2 linked regions of the Coturnix japonica genome follow. The protein of the gene in region 2 purifies or fractionates together with the protein of the main gene of each other region. This does not show direct contact. Links are inferred from orthologs where the notes say so. Each region holds a gene or a part of one and is shown on either strand. Other genes may lie near its edges.

The links. The genes of interacting proteins can lie anywhere in the genome.
Region 1: the proteins of RAPGEF2 (region 2) and MAGI1 purify together in Homo sapiens (co-immunoprecipitation; 3 studies listed by BioGRID and IntAct, with this or other methods). This does not show direct contact. The link is inferred for Coturnix japonica from reciprocal best matches to the Homo sapiens genes RAPGEF2 and MAGI1.

What each region holds. Positions count from the first base shown.
Region 1 is NC_029527.1:11,503,187-11,510,413, reverse strand, and holds part of MAGI1 (membrane-associated guanylate kinase, WW and PDZ domain-containing protein 1), read left to right. Parts: coding exon 1-1; intron 2-2,280; coding exon 2,281-2,463; intron 2,464-3,152; coding exon 3,153-3,773; intron 3,774-7,227. UniProt on the Homo sapiens protein: Plays a role in coupling actin fibers to cell junctions in endothelial cells, via its interaction with AMOTL2 and CDH5. May regulate acid-induced ASIC3 currents by modulating its expression at the cell surface.
Region 2 is NC_029519.1:19,618,895-19,625,576, forward strand, and holds part of RAPGEF2 (rap guanine nucleotide exchange factor 2), read left to right. Parts: intron 1-845; coding exon 846-1,405; intron 1,406-3,904; coding exon 3,905-4,210; intron 4,211-5,443; coding exon 5,444-5,469; 3' UTR 5,470-6,682. UniProt on the Homo sapiens protein: Functions as a guanine nucleotide exchange factor (GEF), which activates Rap and Ras family of small GTPases by exchanging bound GDP for free GTP in a cAMP-dependent manner.

The DNA.
Region 1 (7,227 bases), on a different chromosome or scaffold from region 2:
GGTAACAACCTTGTTAAACCAGTTGTAAAAGCCCAACAAGTTTTTTTCCTGCAAAGGAAGTTCCCACCATAACCAATAAAGGGAGTATCACACACCAGTCCCCTAGACTTTGATACTAATTACCTCAAAACCACATTTGTTGCCAAATGTGAGGAGCAAACGTGATTACCTGAATGAAAAAACGAACCATGACTATTCTTCATGTAGTATCCCAAGTCTTCAAAAAGGCACAAAAATGTGATTTACATCAGTGGGATTTAACCACTGTACCTGCTGGATGCAGGTACAAATAGGGGATCTTTTGCTACAGAGCTGTATTGTTAGGCAAGGATTAGGCTTTTATGTCTTCATAGCTGAGTTTATGGCATGGCTCTTACAGTACGATCCATAGAAAATAGAAAATAGATTTCTTTTTGTTCACACAGGGCAGCCTTCCCTCCCAAAAACAAAATCATGCAAACCCTCCAGCACATTCCCATGGGATATTAGAGTATATTAGGGTAGTCCAGATTGGCACCAAGGAAAAACGTGTCTGGAGATGATGCCCTGTCCACCAGGCATCCAGCACTGGTCAGTTCATTTGAGTGCTGTTTTTATATACTGTTGAGATGGTACAAGGGCTGCCCAAACTCCATACCTGGCAATGCAGGACCCATTGTGCAGGGGACCTCACTCAGCTCTCCACCTGCTGCCGACTGCCATCCACCAAAATCTTGCACCAACATTTTTGTTAGCCTGCCTCAATGATGTTCTGGTCCACACTGATACTCCTTCTCTCTCTCACTCCTTCCTCTTCCTTTCTTAGTGCTGTTCCTCCTTCTCTTGCTCCCTGTTTGTAGCACTGTTCCCTGCTTCCCTGTCTCCTTGCCCTGCACCTGGGTGTTTCCATTTCCCTCTGGTGGCACTGCTGGGATCTTCCAGATACACTCCTTTAGAACATTCTCCCCTGCGAACACCATAGGTGTGACATAGCCTGTGATGCTACTGTCTCTTGTTACTAAGGGCAAGTTCAAGCCGTGTTAGTAGGCAGATGCTGGCAAGCTTTGCTTGTTCTGCTTATTTTTTTAACCAAAAATGAGCACAGGGCCAAACCCTGCTACAAGCTGCCTGTGTTTTTCTGCACCCTGGGGTCTGAGCACAGTATCTGCCTGCCATGTGCAGGATTGCCACATTCCTGTGCTACCCTTCAAAGGCAGAAGACGGACTCCTTGCACTGCCCCCTCATGAATAATCTTCAAATATACGTTTTATTTTTTTCCCCCATTCAAAGGCTTACAAGCCTCCAGTTTCCCTTAAGATTTGCTTTCTGAGCAGAGCCCCACGGCAATGCTGCCGAGGTTTCTGAAATCATGCCAGCACTGCTGGCTATGACACAGGCTGCTGATCCTGGAGCTGTCACCAGAGGGCTTAGTGGCACAGGCTTTTCCCCTCTAAACGTTAAAAATAATTAGAAGTTCAGAGGTGCGTAGTGTTGGCACTGTGAAGTACACAACCGTGACTCCTTTCCCATCCTGTGCAATGTGCTGTGCAAGGATGAGCTTTTGCTTTTGGAGCACCTTGTGCTCCCTTATCCATGCTCCCAGAGAGTATTAGCAGTCCTCCAGCACAGCCCCCCCCCCCCCCTAGGATTCAGGATGCTCTTTGATCCACCTTCACTACAGCACTGCTTCATCCACTGCAGGTGAGGAGCAGGAAGGAAGGAGTCAGGCTTGAAACCGTGTCTGAAGAGCAATGTCAGCATCCCCCCTGCTCCTCACCAGAGGAGGTGATAGGGGGGTAGTGATGATGGGATGGGCAGGGGATTAGCTGAAGGGTTACATGGTGTCTGAACATCGCTCTGGAGCTGCTGGAGAAAGCCAAGTATAATAAAACTATGATGCTAATTTCTACAGAAATTCTCACTGCCGACTCAATCTCATCCTTAGTGGAGAGGATAAAACCACCTCAAGACAGTGATAAGACGTATTATCAAACCAGCACTGCTAGCTTTAATGCATTCCCTTCCAAAAAAAGCCCTTTCCCCTTGTGTAGCCTCAGTACTGTGGTGCATCCAACCACAGCAAAGACAACAGCTGGAAGTCAGAGGGTTTTGTTCACTCCTTTCCCTGCGTGATTGGTGCCAGGGAGACAAGTGGAGGGCAGTGAGGTGACAGGGCAGCAGTCTGGTCCTGTCCCTGCTCCCTGCTGTTTATGCACTTGTTAGAATGCAGAGGGATGGAGGAAAAGAAGACCAAATGCTCTTGCCTGCCTTTTTATAGATTTTCCAAACTTCCTACACAGGGAAACCTTTTTTTACAAGAAACCCTTCTGAGTTGAAAGGGAAGTTCATCCACACGAAGTTAAGGAAAAGCAGCAGGGGGTTCGGCTTCACCGTCGTCGGAGGAGATGAGCCGGATGAGTTTCTGCAGATCAAAAGTTTGGTGCTTGACGGCCCTGCGGCGCTGGACGGCAAAATGGAGACAGGTACTGGTGCCATCACTCAAAATCACCCCCTTCACTTTGGTTTATGGTTTTGTGGCTGTTTTTATATGCAATTCAAAACAACCTTTAGTCCTCATCGTGTTTTTGGGGAAAGATGTTCAGCTTTCCGATCAGCAAGCAGGGAGGTGGGATGCAACAGGAGGAAATCCCAGTAGGGTTCACCTGAACATCACACGCTGAACATCCCTGTCTTACAGCCACAGTGTTAAAGAACTGAATGAGATTTCAGGCTGAAGTACGTCTGAGACGCGGTACATGGCACCGTATTTAAGCAGTTGCTGTTTGAGCCTTCTGTTACAGCTCTCAGTTTTGTTCCTGTCAGATGTCATTGTAGAGCAGGGTGTGACAGTGAGAGCTGGGCTTGGCAATAACTGCAAAATAGGCGATATATTGTTGCTTGAATTTATTACCTTTTTGCACGAACCAAATTCCATTTGCACTTTCAGAAAGTGTTTATGCACATGAAGGCTTTATGTGCTGAATCTTCTGTGTGCTAGTAGTTCTTGCTTGTCCAAATATTCTCACAGCTTTTCTTTGCAAAATACTTTAGTGCTGCTCTCTGCCCACAAGTGGCACCTGTGGGCTTCTGGGGCTCCAATTCTGTGTTCCTGAGGTGTACAAGTGTGGTGTGGCTGTATGCACCTGATATATCTCTCTTGTGTCCTCTGCAGGGGATGTCATAGTCAGCGTGAATGACACCTGTGTGCTGGGGCACACTCACGCCCAAGTTGTGAAAATCTTCCAGTCCATCCCCATTGGTGCCAGCGTGGACCTCGAACTGTGCCGAGGCTACCCCCTGCCCTTCGATCCCGATGACCCCAACACAAGCTTGGTGACGTCCGTGGCAATTTTGGACAAAGAGCCGATCATTGTGAACGGGCAGGAAAATTATGACTCCCCAGCCAGCCACAGTAGTAAAACAGGGAAAGTCAATGGCACAAAGGAAGCGAGACCCAGCAGCCCAGCTGAGGTCTCCTCCAACGGACCCCATGGGTACCCCAATGACACGGTCTCTTTGGCATCTTCAATAGCAACACAACCTGAACTGATAACTGTGCATATAGTGAAAGGGCCCATGGGCTTTGGCTTTACTATAGCAGACAGTCCCGGTGGGGGTGGCCAAAGGGTGAAACAAATTGTGGACAGCCCGCGATGCCGGGGCCTGAAGGAGGGTGACCTTATAGTCGAAGTCAACAAGAAGAATGTGCAGAGCCTCACTCACAACCAGGTGGTAGATATGCTGATTGAATGTCCGAAGGGAAGCGAAGTCACGTTGCTGGTGCAGCGAGGAGGTAAGTCTTTAAAACTACTTGAAAATATTTCTTCCTCAAATTATCCAAAAACATGCATGTCATGAAAGATCTGCTCCCTTAATCTTCAGTGTTGAAAAGGTTTGTGTCTGGAGGTGTGAGAACTGCTGCATGTTGGCAGTTGCTGCGTCAAATGGATGGTTAAAGTTATTTGTTGTTTGGTGCTTTGCTGGGGTGAATGTGCTTGCAGCTCCTGTGTGCTCTTGCACTACACACAGCTTCTGGTAGGGGGCAAGCGGGTTGTATGGTTACACCGTTGCCTTACATGACGTCCCCTGATCTGCTCATAAAACTTGATTTGTTTAAATAATGTGGGTATTTCTTGTGTTGTTTTGTGGGATGGAAGAGAATTGTGATATATTTTGTGGTTTGCAGCGTCCAAAGCCAGATAGCCATGGACTTTTCAGTGTGGAAGGGCTACACCTGGGATGCAGATTGTAACCTGGGTTGAAGGCAGAGCATTTAAACTTCCCCAGGTTGTGAGCAATTGAAGTGCTAATTCTTGACCTGTTTATCTGCTGATAATTATCTCCTGGCAATCAGGAGCTGAACTCAGTTTTGGTTGTGTTGCTGAAGCGCAGTGTTTTGCATGGATAATGCACACGTGGTGCTCAGCACCTTACAGGCACACTGCAGGGACAGAGGGGAGCAGAGCAAGGAGCAGAGGCCAAATGCAGCTCTGGGATCTGCACTGACTGTGAAAGTGCTGAAACCTTCCCAGAGTGTTTTAATTGTAGAAAATTAGCAACCAAAGCTGGTCTGTTGAATGGGGACACGCTGCCTTCTGAATTGGCAGCTCTGGTTTATTGTTTTTGAAGGGCTATTTCAAAGAATGGAGGACGTGGGTTCTGCAATTATTAGCAGTTCTGGAGCAAGCAAAGCCTTTCTTATCCTTCTTCTTTTCCGAGTGCTTACTTTACTGTAACATTTAGTTAGTAAATTAAAAAGTAGAGAACAGAATATATTATGAGTTCTCCAATTTTCCAAGTGTGAGTTCCCTGGAGACCTTCAATACTGGATAGGCTTAAAAAAAATGCACGGCAGACTCATGATTAATATATGTATTTTGGAAAAAATATGGTTGGAAGAAAGATAGCAGCTGTTATTAATTCTCCATGAGAGCACATACGTATCTGGTACCACCATACATTAATTATTTGAATTGTGGATGACATTTAATAATCCTTCTTATGGCTTGAAGGCATAATGAAAAGATTTGATGAGGAAATAAAAGCAGAGTTTTAATAGGATAGTAAATAGTTCTCTGGTAATCTTGCTGAGTCTCTTTCTTCTTTTGCCTTTGTTTTTTTGCTGAATTGAAATACTGAGCACATATTTAGTGTTTGCTGTCGCCTTCCCAGGTAGATGACGTGCCGGTCTTCTTGATCCCATTGCAGAAATACATTTGGCTCTGCAGTCTGTAAGCAAATTCAGGGCTCCTGGAGCAGCTCTTCCATACTGTCCCTATCAGTTGTCTTTTCCTCCTTCTCCCTCTGGTGTCCAGTGAAGAAAGTGCTCAGCTGCTGTCAGGCAGCCACACATAAGCCAGACATCTGCATTCAGATGGGCTCTGCATGGAGCATCCCTGCACTGCTACGACTGGTTCTGAGCTGTAGAAAGGATTTGTCAGAAATGATTATTACTAATCAGACAGTAAAATATCAGGAAGGGATGAGTCGTATATGTGACAAGGTTTGCCTGCTTGGAGCAGCTTGTATGCTCCCAACAAGATTTAATTGTTAAAGCTGAAGGGTCCTCTCTGCATGAAAATCATTTGTAAGGCTTGTGTGAGGCTATGGGGATGAATGCTTTAAGAGAGGGGCAGTGTCAGGTCATTGAAAGTTTGCTCTTAAGAGGTCCTGTGGAAGACCTGCTTTCCTAAGGGATAACATAATTGCCTGTAGATGCTAGGGCAGGACAGAGCAGATCCCTCAAGCCAAATAGAGATCTTGACTGAGGATCAAATGGGTGTTGTTTGGTTCTGAGTGATTTTAAACGGGTGAAGGTGCCAAGCCATTTGAGCCTGTAAGTTGGACTGGAGGAGGCAGGAGACCTTGCTGGGTAAAGCCCAGCAGATCTGAAGGGTGGCGTGGAGATGCTTGGCAGCAAAGGAAGTCTGTTCAAGGTCTGGATCCATGAAAGTGCCAGCGCTCCTAGTTACAAAATGAAGAGTTAAGCGTATGTGTTTGTCCCTGCAGTGCACTTGTTGTCATTGCACATCTCATTTATTTTAGAGATTTACTGTTAATAAGGTCACAAAAAGGCGTACCTTTAGTTCAGATATTTTTAATTGCAAAGAGGTCTTTAAACATGGAGCCTACCAAGTGAAGGCAAAGAAAGCAACAACAAAACAAAGGTATATTTACCACTTGAAATCCAATTTTCGTTGAAGCCTTGTCTGACCGGAGTGATTCAAATACCTCTCCATTCTGCATAGAATCTATTCATAATAAAAGCAACATTAGTTGGAATAATCTCCCTGTTTCCCAAGTGACTTCTATTGCAGGGAGCTGTGTCTGTGCCAGGACAGGTGGCGGATGTTTCAGAACAAGGGATTCTGCCAAACTACTGTGCTGCACTTATCTGGGTCAGTAAGACCTAGCATTTGTCTCAGTATCTGCATGTCTTACTGATGTATTATTCAAATAACCTCAGATTAAATACGATTTTATGGGTTTTTTTTCCAAGTCTAGGTTAGTTTTCTGTATAAACTACCCAACACTGTTGTATCTGTTTTGTGGTCAGTTACAAGAATTGGGCTGAGTAGTTTTTCTGCAGGTTTGAATGGATAACTTCCCTTCCAAGCTTTCAGCATCTCTGTTGACCAGGAGGTTGAAAATAGCACAGACCTTCAGCCTGATCTACATAATCCCCTCGGAGATGTATTCTCACTCTGCTCCAGATCGAAGTAAAAGCATGCAGGTGGGATGTCACTCACATGCCATCTGCAAACCAGTGCAGTTTATGGTTGCTTTCCCTAGAGCTACATTTACATTAAACTGGGGAATAGAAATCAGTCTTTTGAGACACAGATGATAAATATCAATTTCAAAACTAAGTGTATTTTATGGGAGGAAAGAGCTAAGTAATATCAAATGCCCATCACCTGAGTGCTGGTCTCCATGTAAGTGCAGTCAGTAGTAAAATCTCTATTCATGGCTCAGCTGCGAATAGAGGATGTTTGCAGTGAGTGATGAGGCAGGATGAAGTGGGGAAACCTCTCTTGGTCCCTGACTCAGAGGTCTCAAGAAGGTAATACGTGTAACTTTAGCAGAGATTTGCAGCAATGGAACAAAATTGCGGAGTGTTCAAGCAATAAACCTGTTAAGACTTCTTATCTGTATGGAGCCTCCCTTGCTGTTCCAGTGGTGCTCTTGGCAAGTGAGGCTCATTAACATCCACTGCTTTCCTTAGAAATGAGGTATCTTCTCCTTCT
Region 2 (6,682 bases):
CTCTGGTTTTGAGGTTTATAGTCCTGTAGGGTCTGTGGATGACAGGCCTGTTCTGAAAGTGGTGTGCTTCAGCTCTGGGAATCCCAGGCTATGCAAGCTCTTTGATCAGATGTGTAAAATATTTGGAAGATAAAGGTCCCAATCTGCATAACAAGCTGCCCTGAAACCACAACTCACAGCAGCCCTGATAGTTGCTAAATGAAGCTGACACTTGATCAGTTTTCACTGCTGCTATGTAAGTGGTAGTGTCAGACTTGATCAGCCAGTGGAAGGCTACAGAGAACGTACTTGCTATAGGAAGTAATATGTTTTTCCAAAAGTAACAAAGTCAATTTCCTTTGCAAGAAATACTGGTAAGTTGTCATTCTGAGTTATGAATGAGCAGAGGTCTGAATCTGAGTTTCAGTCACTCAGTTTATAACTTTGAGTTATTTGCATTGCTTGTATGGAAAAATGGTAGGAACCTATATGTCAGTCTGCTCCCTTTTATTCTATGTATCTCAGTGGCATTTGCCTGTCTTAAAGGACTGCTGCAAAGTTAAGATTTTATATTTTGTGGAGGCTCCACTAACGTGTTTCATCAGGAGAGTTACCCAGTGTTCTTACTGATTCTGTTAAGGATAAGCTTAAAAGGAAAGTTTTCTATGCTCAAAATCAGATTAGTCATTAAACAACTACAACATAAATTGCATCAAAACTTTCAACATGCACTTTTTTGGGGTTTTTTTTTGTTTGTTTTGTTTTGTTTTGTTTTTTTTTTAACGTGCTAGTTCTTTGTGTGCTTTGTAAAAGATCTCTGCTTTCAGTGCTGGATTTTTTTGTTCCCCTCTTCAATGTGCATCTAGATCTTACGCACCACTGTCAGAGAACAGAGGCCTGTATGCTGGAGCTACTGTTCTGTCTTCTCCTAGTACAGAAGAACTGTCACAGGATCAAGGGGACAGAGCTTCACTCGATGCAGCTGACAGTGGCCGTGGTAGCTGGACTTCTTGTTCAAGTGGTTCTCATGACAACATACAAACAATACAGCACCAGAGAAGCTGGGAGACTCTGCCATTTGGACATGCTCATTTTGATAATTCGGGCGATGGGGCAGGACTGTGGGCCTCAGGCAGTCATGTGGACCAGCTGATGTTCTCTGATCATGGCACAAAGTATAGCCGGCAAAGTCAAGGTAGGGAGGGCCTCGATCAAGCACAGTCCAGAGCAAGCTGGGCATCCTCAACGGGCTACTGGGGAGAGGACTCAGAAGGTGACACAGGTACCATAAAGCGAAGGGGTGGGAAGGATGTTTCTATTGAAGCTGAAACTAGCTGCGGAACATCCATACCAGCAGAGGAGGCGAAGCCAGCTCCCATGCCCGCTCACATACCGGTAACATCAAGTACTACAAAGGGGCTTATTGGTAAGTTACATTTTACTTTAATTCACTTACCTACAGTGCTTAGCATTGTTCTAAACCTATTTTTCTTTTGTCTGGTTTGATTTTAAAGAATGGAATGTTTTGTAGTCTCTCAGTTTTTGCCCTGTAACTGTGTTTTTACTGCTAGAGAAATTATCACTTACAGCTGCTTCTCAGTTCTGGCAGCTCCTTTGTGTTTCAAGACAGCCTACCATACATCATAAAAAAACCAACTAGCTCAACTGCTGGGCAGTGTTTTGAGGAGCTGATGTATATAGGTGTCTGTTCTGAAATTTGAATTACTTTTCACAGTAAGCCTTTGTACTCTATATTTAGTCATCTTTTTTCTTTTTTTTAGAAGTGTTTTCCTTTCTACATTTGTATAACTAGTCTGATGATTCCTTACTTTTAAATGTTCCTTACTTCTAAAAATGCAGCTTTGTGTTTAGACACCAGCTGAGGCATTTCTTTAGATTACTGAAATTTAAGAGATTCCTAAGAAATTAGGGCTGTATTACATTTACAATCATCCAGTGAGGATGGATATAACATAAAGGTAGCTTTGGCAGTGTTTTTAACAATCCTCATATTTTTCCTTCTACACATCCCAGGTGTTACAGGGCCATCCAAGACCCTTCTACATTTTTTGCATCTTTCATTTCCCTTTGCTGTGAGTGCCTTTCCTCAGGTTATTATGAAGGGTTCTCTGAAAGCCATTTTGGTTTGACACAGCTGAAAAAGTCTGTCAGACAGAGGCCATGCTGAGACCATTATGATAAGGTGCTTTTCCATTTTCTGCCTTAGTATATTGCTTGCCTATTGCTGCAAAACTTGGGTGCAGCATTGAATCCTTGAACTGTGAAGGGGAGGAAGCTGGTCAGTTCAGGACTCAAGGTCCTGATTTGTGCCATTCTCTAATTTTACTCTTTGATGCACTTGGTTTCCACCAACAGGTGTGCTTCCAGACTCGCCTCTCATGACTGAGCTTGCCACTACATTTATATACACTGATAGACTTCAGAGAATGTGACAAAGATCCAAAAATTGCAGCTGTATAACTTCCATGCATTCAGTACTATTAACTGTGCTTGAAAATGCAGCTCTGTTTATCATGGATCTCTTGCAATAGTTCAATAGAATTTTTCAACAGAATTTATTCTATGTCAAAATTACTTGAAATGAAAATTACTGAAATCTTTGAATAAAAATTCTCAGAAGTTTCTTCATGTTGCTTTGCTCAATTACACGTGTTTGTCCAAGAAAAGTATTTAGATTCCATAGGAGACAATTTGGCTTGCTAATAGCAAGGCAAAAGCCAACCAGCCCAGTAAAACCATTTGTGAGCTGGTACTGCCCTTGCAGTCAATTTCATAGTGCATAATGCAGGGTGATGTTGTCCTCGTCACTTGTGCAAGAATATACAGGGCATGACAAGGCAGGAAGAGTAAGTTTGCTGTGCCAGGTTTTTTTTTCCTGCTGTGTTTGCTTTTGTATTGTAAGTAGTCACATTAAAGGGTTAGACTCACAAAAAAACTGTTCAGGGTCAGAGTCTTAATTAACTTCTTTAAACATGAAATTCCACAGTACAGAATCATGAAACCATTGTGCATCTGGTCTGTTCTTGAAGGTGTTTAAAACTCTTCATCACTGTTTCTTCCCTCAAATCTCTCTGCAAGGGTACACTGGTCATGGCCAGAGGTAACTCTTGTTCAGGTAAACAGAGAAACCTCAATGAGATCCACAAAGTATGTGGTCTTTCCTTCTCCCGCTCAAAATCTTATTCAATTAGTGTTCTTGCAGGAATGATTTCAAGACTTAATTCTGTAGAAATTAAAATCATAAGAGCAGTGGTTAGTGACGCATGCAAAAAGCATGAGAATGAGGTCCATTACTCTTATGTGTTGGAACTGTAGCTTTGCCTTAGTAAGGTTTTTAGAACCTTTTTTTTTTTCTATTTTATTTTGTTTTGTTTTATTTTATATTTATTTTATTTTATATCTATTTATTTATTTATTTTTTCCTTGCCTGCAAGTTTCTAAGAACAGAAGAGGTAAACTTTTAGGGGCAAAACTCATCTTCAAGATTAAGACTGGGATGGCATTTGGGGAGAAGCTGATATTCATGATGGCTGCCACTTTTGTGAACTCTTGTATCTCCCATATCACTGGTCTCTTTGACCAGTGAATGATTCATTCTGTGTAGTTGGTGGAGTAGCTTCAGCTGCTAAGTTAGAGCAAGTTCCTCATGTAATTTAGTGATTTAATTTCATTAATACTTCACTACTGGAACAATATTGGTATCACATGTATGTTGTATATTCTTAGTTTTCTCGTATAGTTTATTTTTCAGTATCTCATTATCTACTAAGTAGTATTTAACTTTCATCCTTCTTCAGGGCTTTTCTCCTTGGATCATGAGTTGATCAACATTTAACTCTCACTGTTCATTTTGATTTCATCAGCTTTCGTCTTATTACTTCATAACAATCTTTTTTTCTTGCAGCACGAAAAGAAGGTCGGTATCGGGAGCCACCTCCAACTCCTCCTGGTTATGTAGGAATACCTATTGCTGAGTTTGCAGAAGGTGTTTCCCATCCAACTAGAAAGCCTCCAGATTACAATGTTGCACTTCAGAGGTCTAGAATGGTGGCACGGACATGTGAGACCCATGGGACTTCGGCTCAACAGCAACAGTCACATGGCCATTCAACTAGCAGGCCTGTGAACAAACCTCAGTGGCATAAACCAAACGAGTCAGATCCACGTCTTGCTCACTATCAGTCTCAAGGGTTTCCCACAGATGAAGATGGTAAATTTCTTATTGTTAAATTTTAAGTGTGCTGCATGCAAATGTGTTCGTTGTTTTCAGTCACAAAGTAGATTATGCAAGTGATTGTTGCACTAGAAATTCTTGCTATAATTTGAGTTTCCATCTTTCAAGCCTTACTGTCTGTTTACTTTTTGGAAAAAGAAGAATTCAGTTCATGCAAAACATCATTTAAAATCTGGAATGTATGTCTGCCTTGAATCCTTGACAACCAAGCAGTTGGCTTAGGCAACTTCTTTTGAGGTGCCTACGTTCCAGATAAAAAGCCCTGGGTGCCCTGAAAATATCCAGTGTTTGGCACTAGCTCAAAATATTTATCTCAGTCTACAAATGCCTACCCCCAGAGAGCATCATTGGTCAGTTTTAGATGGATTATCACTCGGCGTTCTAGCTGAAACTCTTGTTGTGGATGCTGGGTCTTCCATACCAACTGCTTCACATGAATTTGCTATCTTGCTTGCCGATCTTTATGCTTTAGCTCAGGTATTGCAATATAAAGACCATACACACATAGTCTTTCTGTTATTTGGTGGCGTGTACGTGTAGCTGGATTGCATCTTCAGAGCTAGATGCTTGCAGCCTAAGCAGGATAATGCTCAAGTCACGCATCTGAATCTTTGATGCTCTGTTTTGTCTAATGGTAGAAAGGCTAACTTTCTCCTTCCCTCGCTAACTGCTTAGTTACTAAAGCTCTGTGTACAGCATGAACTCAGCAATCAAACATGACAAAAAGATGAGATCCCTTTAATAGGATTGCCTCAATCTTTAAGAACTACTGTGGCAGTTTGAGACTTTTAGTTGTATTTTACCAGTGACAGCAGAAGCCACAGTCATTTTTATGCAATCTTAAGTCAAATAACTCCCTAGGAAATAGTGTCAGATACATTCAAGGAAAAATGTAAGAACTGCTTTATGAAGCTACTAGATATTTAGGAACAGCTGTTGCATTCCAGTCCTGAGAATACTGCGCCCAGATCAACAATAGTGATTGTTCTATTTTCTTTGAGATGATAAAATGTCAGAGAAGTGCTTCTCATGAGACCTGAAATGTAAAGATATTTAGATAGTTGGTTTTTTGTTTTGTTTTCATTTGTTTTTTAATATACCTAACAGAGAGGAACAGAAAGCACATGAACATAGTACAGGTTGTTTCATTTAGTAGCGGTCTTCATCTACATGAACTAAATATTTTCCCCTGTCCTGTTGTGTTTGCAGAAGATGAACAAGTCTCTGCTGTGTAAGACTTGGGGCTTTTCTGGATCCAGAGTGAACCACCTTAAAGGAGAGCACAAGAAGACATCCCTAGAATAGGAGCCTTGGAACTATAGTTAAAGGATGGTGGACCTGTTTGCCTCCTTCCCTGCCTTAAAGCAGCATGGGGCTTCTTCCTCCACCCCCCTCAAACCCCCCTTCTGTCCCTTCTCCCCTTGCATGTGAAATACTGTGAAGAAATCGCCCTGGCACTTTTCAAACTGTGTTGCTTGAAATGCACAGTGCAGCAATCTCCAAGCTACCATTGTCGCTGTCTGCCACATCACACAGTATCATTCCAAATTCCAAGATCATCACATCAGGACGATAACTCTGGCTGCACTTCCCAATGCCTGGAAGGGTTTTTTAATCTTCCTTTTCAATTTTAATCGTGATCCTAGCACTTAGTCTCATTGGGATAATGAGATAAGCTAGTTGTCAACTTACGTTTGGCCTTTAACCTACCAAGAGTGGAATGCATTGAAATCCTTCAAGGAGGCAGTGCTTATTTGCTTGTTTACAATGCCTTTGTTACAATTTTGTACATTTGTGTTCTGAGATCAAATACTGCATCTGCCTAGTAATTACAGTATTATTTCCTACCTGTAAGTAGGGTTGCCAGCCTCAGCTCCCAGATAGCATCTACCTGCTGCGTGGCTGAGCAGGGCAGAAGGGAAGAGCTGCAGGATGCAGCCTTTCCCAACTGTCCAGCTTCTCTCTTAGCGTGTCCCACCTTGAAAGCTTCCAGATTTGTGCCCGTTAGTGGGGATGGCGTTGGGTCTAGGATCAGTGCAGAGCCATGCTCTTACAGCTCTCCAATGAAGGAACAGCGGTCACCATGCCTCGTACCTGTGCCTTGTGGGATACAGGACGGCGTGCTCAAAACAAAGTATCCCATTCTAACGAGACAGACGGCAACGTCACCTTTAAGTTATATATTATTTCTATTTTTTTGTTTTGTTTCTTTATTTCTTTTTTTTTTTTTTTTTTTTTACTCGATAGTTGTTATATTACAAGAAAAATTAACTGGATAACATTGCAGTGAAGGCAAGCTGGGATGTCACAGCTTCTGAAAGCTGTTAATATTGATTAAATAGCCTCCATCTATTGACCTGGCATTAGGGGGATAAACAAGCCTTTAAGTAAAGAAGAATAACCTTTTTAGATATGCCAGCCTTTGCAATGCAGAAATAGTCACAACTG